Linked DNA regions of Oryctolagus cuniculus. Each later gene encodes a partner of the first gene's protein in a complex. Links are inferred from orthologs where the notes say so. Each region holds a gene or a part of one and is shown in the gene's direction. Other genes may lie near its edges.

Evidence for each region. Proteins that work in one complex are often made in the same cells at the same time.
Region 2: EXOSC8 (region 1) and EXOSC1 share a complex: the UniProt entries of both Homo sapiens proteins name them as parts of the RNA exosome core complex. The link is inferred for Oryctolagus cuniculus from reciprocal best matches to the Homo sapiens genes EXOSC8 and EXOSC1.

The regions. Positions count from the first base shown.
Region 1 is NC_091440.1:77,075,076-77,078,716, reverse strand, and holds the end of EXOSC8 (exosome complex component RRP43), read left to right. Parts: intron 1-241; coding exon 242-338; intron 339-1,565; coding exon 1,566-1,686; intron 1,687-2,180; coding exon 2,181-2,287; intron 2,288-2,901; coding exon 2,902-3,017; 3' UTR 3,018-3,114; downstream 3,115-3,641. Other genes in the region: SUPT20H (transcription factor SPT20 homolog), read right to left, coding at 3,383-3,523. UniProt on the Homo sapiens protein: Non-catalytic component of the RNA exosome complex which has 3'->5' exoribonuclease activity and participates in a multitude of cellular RNA processing and degradation events.
Region 2 is NC_091446.1:32,404,285-32,407,590, forward strand, and holds the end of EXOSC1 (exosome complex component CSL4), read left to right. Parts: intron 1-565; coding exon 566-599; intron 600-1,622; coding exon 1,623-1,673; intron 1,674-1,801; coding exon 1,802-1,886; intron 1,887-2,363; coding exon 2,364-2,470; 3' UTR 2,471-2,799; downstream 2,800-3,306. UniProt on the Homo sapiens protein: Non-catalytic component of the RNA exosome complex which has 3'->5' exoribonuclease activity and participates in a multitude of cellular RNA processing and degradation events.

The DNA.
Region 1 (3,641 bases):
CATACATCTTTAGCTCCCTTGAGGAAGATACAGATGTCTATCACTTGACAGTTCAGTGGTTAGAAAACCAAACTTGGCCATTGACTTTTTACTTTATAGCGGTAAAACATGTTGTTAAAGTTTTTGAGCTTTAAAAGTTATCTTCCATATTTATCCAAGGATTCTGAGGTTGTTAAGTCTAAACCAACAGCATGTTTTACTCAGAAGGCTTTAATTTCTTTTTGTGTAAATTCTGTTTTAGCTTGCTTGGGTTCTATACTGTGATCTCATTTGCCTTGATTATGATGGAAACATTTTGGATGCCTGCACATTTGCTTTGTTAGCAGCTTTAAAAAATGGTAAGCAGCCTTTTATAAAAGGCTATTTTCCTAAAGGGTCAGAATGTTCTGTTTTGTGAAACTTCAGTGTCCACTGGCTCAATAAACTTTTTAAAGTTTTTTCTTAAGATAAGCCATCATTCATGTTTTTAAATTAATGAATATGGAGCTGGCATTGTGACAGGGTAGGTTAAGCCACTGCTTAAGACACTGGCATACCATATTGGAGTTCTCACTGCTCTGCTTCTGAACCAGCTCCCTGCCAGTGTTCCTGGGAAAATAGCAAATGATGGCCCAAGTATTTGGACCCTTGCCACCTATGGGAAGCTAGGATGGAGTTCCTGGCTTCAGCCTGGCTCAGACCTGGCTGTGGCAGCCATATGGGGAGTGAATTGGGATAAAAGATCTATACATCTCTCTGTTTTTGGTTCTACTCCCCAAATAAAATCTTTAAAAAATTAATGAATATATTACTGCTGTGACTTCCCAAATACACTGGGAAGTTCTATATTCTCTTAACTGAATGCCTTTTAGAGTCTTGCCACAACTGTCCCCATCTATTTGAGGTAGGACTGCAGTCGTTCCCCAAATAGCATTAATGTGGAGGGAGTTGTGACTACTCTCTAGGAGGTTTGGTGAAGATCTAAGTATTCTCTAAGTTCTTTTGTTGCCAACAAGGTGTAGAATGCATTCTATTGTTTTTACTCTAAGGCCATATAAATTACCTTAGTAAGGATCAGTAGACTCATTAGTTAGGATTTCAGTGGCTTGTATTTATCATTGCTTTGATGAAATGATAATACAAGGTATAAGTAGTAGTTAGCATGGTGGTATTACAGAGTAGCGGTTAAAGGACTCAAGTTTGAATCCTGACTCTACCAGTCTATGCTTTAGTTTCCTTGTTTGTAACAAAATGAAGATAATAGTACTTTTCTAAGAGTGTCAGTGATTAAATACATGAAATGCATAAAACAGTACCTGGCATATAGAAAATGACTAAAAGTTTTATCTACTAAAACTCATTTTGATTTCTTTAACTTTAAAAAGTTAAATAAGCACTAGGCAAGAATGTTAAATATTGTGAAAAACAATGTTTATATCTGCTTTATTTACCTTAATTGTTCTAAGATGCCTTTTTAAAAAGAATGTTTTGGATAAGTTAAACTGAAGACAAAAAAGTTAATAAACTGAAGAAATCATTTGTTGCTTAACACTACTCAGAGTGACTTTGTATTTGCCTTTCTCTAGTACAGTTACCTGAAGTTACTATTAATGAAGAAACTGCTTTAGCAGAAGTTAATTTAAAGAAAAAAAGTTACTTGAATATCAGAACTCACCCAGTTGCAACTTCCTTTGCTGTGTTTGATGAGTAAGTTAATCATATTTACTGAAAACTTTCTGTATTTGAAGTTAAGAAGATGGATTGTTACTCAGCTTTCTGATTCTTGAGGACATGCCTGTGGTTGACCATATGCCCTAGTTCACCCTGGATCTTTGAATTTATACCTGTTGTCCCTGCAGAGTTATTTCTAGTCAGTTCTTCCACTTTTCTAAACATCCTGATTATTAACTCTATGCTCACCTTGCTGTTCCTTGGTTTATATATATGAAATGTTAATTTTAAGTTCTTTCACTGAAGACTTTACCTGAATCTATTTTCAATATTTGCTAGAAAGTTTAATGTATTCACAAATTGAAGAGCAGAGTTTCTTACAAGTACTAAATTTGAAGTTGCTTTTCACTCTTCTGGTTTCTCATCAGTCCATTCTACCCCTAAGTTAAATTCAGGTGGTATACTTATTATTATTCTTAAAGAAATTTTTTCTATAAATTGGTAACTTTTTTTTTTTTTTTTTTAAATAGCACTTTGCTTATAGTTGACCCTACCGGGGAGGAAGAACATCTGGCAACAGGAACCTTAACGGTCGTAATGGATGAGGAAGGCAAACTCTGTTGTCTTCACAAACCAGGCATGTTTCTACCACTCCAGTCTTAAACCTCTGTTGGTGAAAACTCAGTATGAGCTTTACATAAATGAGAGGGTCAAATGGAATGTAGGATGTCTTATTATTTACCTATAGTGAATTTACTCTAGCTTTGCTATTTTAAGTTCTTTACATTTTCATATTATTAGTGGTTCTTAACATGGCGTACATCAGAAGCCTTGGAAGTCTTATTAAAACTTAACGTGGGGGGGTTGGCATTTTGCCTAGCAGTTAAGACACTGGGTTCATCTAGCTCCAGTTGCTGATTCCAGCTTTTTGCTAATGCAGACCCTGGAGGAGAAACAATGAAGACTCAGTTGTTAGGTGACTGCCACCCGTGTGGGTGGTCTGGATTCAGGATTCAGCTCCTGGCTTGTCTGAGTGGGGGTGGGTGGTGGGTGTGCATGTACATGTGCACTAGTGAATGGAATCTCTATACCTCTCAAGTAAACAACAACAAAATACCCTAGAAATCTTCAGGCAGTGCCACTGGTTTACAATTTTTATACAACTTTTTTTGTTTTGTTTTTTTTAACTTGTTACAGCTTTTTTTTTTTTTCAATGCTAATCTTAAAAGTGCTGATACAATCATTTTTCAGGTGGAAGTGGACTGACTGGTGCTAAACTTCAAGACTGTATGAGCCGAGCAGTTACAAGACATAAAGAAGTAAAAAAACTGATGGATGAAGTAATTAAGAGTATGAAACCCAAATAAATAGCCATGTTTTCAAAACAGATTTGTAAAAAATGTATTTGTTATACTGTGCACAATTTTTTATACTAAATAAATATCAAACTACAATCTTCTGAAAGATGTTTCTTGTATTTCTTAGGTTACTTCTATATATGTTATGTACAATGAAACAATTTTTGAAAAACAATGACTTAGGCAGACCAACCCTAATGTCAAACCATTTCCCTGTTTTTATTTAAAAATTATAGAGTTGTGCTTTTGTATAAAGTTTTTACATCTAGCAATGTAAAATACTGACAACATTAAAAAACCAAAAATGAAGTAGAAACTCAATCCTTTTGATTCAATGCTCTTTTGTGTTTAGAAAAAAGAAAAAAAAATAAGACTCAGAATTTTGGAGTGGTAGGCGTGCCTCTCTTCATTTTACTTTTTGACTGGCTGCCTGTATGCTGATGATGATGTAGCTGAGCTGTTTGTGCTGCTGCTGCTGCTGCCATAGCCATTTGATGCTGCAAGAATCGCAACTGCTGCAAAAAGGAGGGAAAGAAGTACCAAGTTATATTAACGCAGGCAGATGTGGACAGGTGCTTTTCCTGAGAGATGAAAACAACAAAACTGGAAGGGAGAAAGCACCGAGATAACAAA
Region 2 (3,306 bases), on another chromosome or scaffold:
ATCTCCCATCCTCTGTTTCACTCCCCCAGTGCCTGCAGCAGCCGAGAGTCAGGAGTTCAATCCATTGTCCCACATAGGAAGCAAGGACCCAACTACTTGAGCCATCACCTGCGCCTCCCAGGGTGCACATTAGCAGGAAGCTGGAATGGAGAGCGGAGTGGGGACTCTTAACCCGGGCAGTGCAGGATAGGACATGGACAATCCCAAGTGGCGGCTTTACCACTGCACCAAACACCCACCTCAGATAATTCGATTTTGCAGGGTCTGGTGTGGTTCTGTGGCATTTCATTCCAGTTCTCTTGAAGCAGCAAAGTTCCTTATCTTTTCCTGCCGCCTCTGATCTCTTTCTGTACTCAGAGGTGTTGCTCCTGCTGCTCTGCATGGCCTGACAATGGGCAAGTGCTTTCTCCCGTGGGCGAAGATGCCTCCCCCCCTCGTTCTGGGTGGCAGCTGGCTCCCGTCAAGACTTGTTCCGTCTGCTCTGAGAGTCCTTCACCTGCTAGGAACCTTCAGGACAGTTTTTCTCGAAGATAATTAACCTTTGGTGAACTTTTTTTTTTTGTAGGAAGGAAGATGTTCGAGCCACTGAAAAAGACAAGGTTGTTGGTTGGTTCGTTTTTCTCTTCCATGAATGAAGCAATTGAAATCCTTTACAATTACTCACATTTATGTTAATTCATCTGACCTGAGTGGGGCTAGGTTTGCCCTTAAAGCCAAGTATTTATTCATTGCTGTCCCCTCAGATGTAGTCCTGGATCTTTCAGAACCAACTGCAGTACCTCTTATATCTTTTCTTTTTCTAAAGATTTATTTTATTTATTTGAAAGAGTTACAGAGAGAGTTAGAGACAGAGAAAGATCTTCCATCCACTGGTTCACTCCTGAGATGGCTGCAGTGGCTGGAGCTGCGCTGATCCAGAGCCAGGAGCCTCTTCCAGGTCTCCCACGCGGGTACAGGGGCCCAAGTAGTTGGGCCATCCTCTACTGCTTTCCCAGCCCACAGCAGAGAGCTGGATCGGAAATGGAGCAGCTGGGTCTTGAACCAGCGCCCACATGGGATGCCAGCGCTTCAGGCCAGGGCGTTAACGTGCTGCGCCACAGTGCTTGCCCCGCCCTTTTTTTTTTTTTTTTTTTTTTTTTTTGTAAGATAAATATTTACTTGAAAGACAGCTACATAGAGAGCTGTCTTCCATCCCTGGTTCACTCCCCAAGCTGAAGCCAGAAGCCAGAAACTCCAGGTCTCCCATGTGGGTGGCAGGGGCCCACATACTTGAGCCATCCTCTGCTGTTCTCCCAGGCACATTAGCGGGACCTGAACTAGAAGTGGAGCAGCAGGGACTCTAATTGGCGCTCAAATGGGATACAGATATGTGTTGCAGGTGGTGGCTTAACTCACTGCACCTCAAAGCCAGCCCCTATAGTACCTTTTTATAGTAAATTCAGTAGTCTGATTCCTGATTGGATTACTGAATTCAAAATCTGATTTGTATGATGTTGACTGACAGGCTATGATGCCTTCTCCCCGCTGGGGTTAGATAGGCGACAAGCTCTCCCAGAGGGGCTAAGGATTCTGTGTGGCTCTGATCCAGAGCTTCACTTAACACCACTATGCTTTCTTCACAGGTTGAAATATACAAGAGTTTCCGTCCAGGGGACATTGTCTTGGCCAAAGTGGTATCCTTTATTCCCAGCAGACTTCTGGTTCTTCGTGAAGAAGACATGGAACTAGAGAAACAACCCAAGTGGCTAAGGGGGGAAGACTTGTAACCTCTCATTTTCCTTCACCGCTGTTGTGTGACTAGATCTCTCTAGGTGACGCCCAGTCCAACTACCTGCTGACCACAGCTGAAAATGAGCTGGGAGTGGTGGTGGCCCATAGTGAGTCAGGTGAGTTGGTCTACACTTCTACATTCTGATTCTTCCTTGGCTGGTATGGTTTGGGATCAATGCATTAATTTTCTGACTTTCCCTAGTTTGTCATTGTTTGGGAAGCAATATAAGTGTAGGTACCATGATGCACTGCATAACAGCATTTTGGTCAGTGACAGACTGCATCTGGGCTGGTGGTCGCATGAGATTATCACCTAGTGATGTTGCAGCCGTACATCCTGTGATGTTCACACAACTATGAAATCGCATGCCCCCATCAGGTGATGCGTGGCTGTGCTTACTGCAGAGATGAGATTCTGCTAGCCCTAAGGAGGTGGGACTCACTTCATAAATCATGAGATAAACACGGTTTTCCCGTATGAGGGGAGGTTTGCTGGTAGCCTGGTAATACTTCAGCTTCGTACCCATCTGAAAGAAAAGGGCTTCAAGCAAACATCTGAGGTCCCAGCTGCAAACCCAGCTTTTCCCTTCCAGGTGTCCAGATGGTTCCCATCAGCTGGTGTGAGATGCAGTGCCCTAAGACCCACACTAAGGAGTTCCGGAAAGTGGCCCGCGTGCAGCCTGAATTCTTGCAGACCTAGGAGGCCATGGTGACCCCCCGGAGGGCTCAGCTGTTTCTGAGAGCATAGGTATGAAAACAGCACCCGGATGCATTGTCTGTCGTCAAAGGCCAGGGTCAGCCAGCACTGCCCGAGAAGACTCGACCAGGAAACTCATTGTGCAGATGAAGCCTTCCTGTGAGTGGATTTCCCTCCCTCGAGTGATGACATTCCTCCTCCGGGGGCTCAGTAAACTGCGAGCTGTGGCCTGTGGGAAATAGCCTGTTCCTCCCGACAGTGTATCTTTATAAATGTGTATATTTTGCTGTGATCAAGAAAACATTTTTTACTAAAAGGATTTTATTACAGGCTGCTGTTGTCTTGAGCTGGGAAAAACCCCTGAATGTGTCATAACGTTTAGAGCAAGGCTTTGCCGATGGCGCCCACTGATCGACGGGTGTCATTTGCTTAGACGAAGCCTGAGCACCAGCCTCTTTTGCATTGTTTTGAGTTCTGTTTTAAATGCTTCTGCTAACTGCTCCAGGCTCTAGGTACACCCCTCACTTCAGTACATTACGGCACAGTGAAAACTGTAGCACGGATGGGCTCATCCAGGTAGCACGTGAATAGGTCTGCAGAGTATTTGGTGAAAATAGGGTTTCTGATGTACTGGGTACTCCAGGACTGGGTGACCCATCGGAATTGAAAAGACGGACAGAGCTTTCACGTGAGGTGGCCGGGAAAGGAATGACAGAATTTGGAGTAAAGTGAAGATATTCGAGGCAGACAGCAGCCCTAGCAAAATGCAGAAGCCGAAATGCAGGGCCCAGCTCGAGTGAGGAAGGGATGGAGTCAAGGATGGAGGGGTTGCAGCGCGG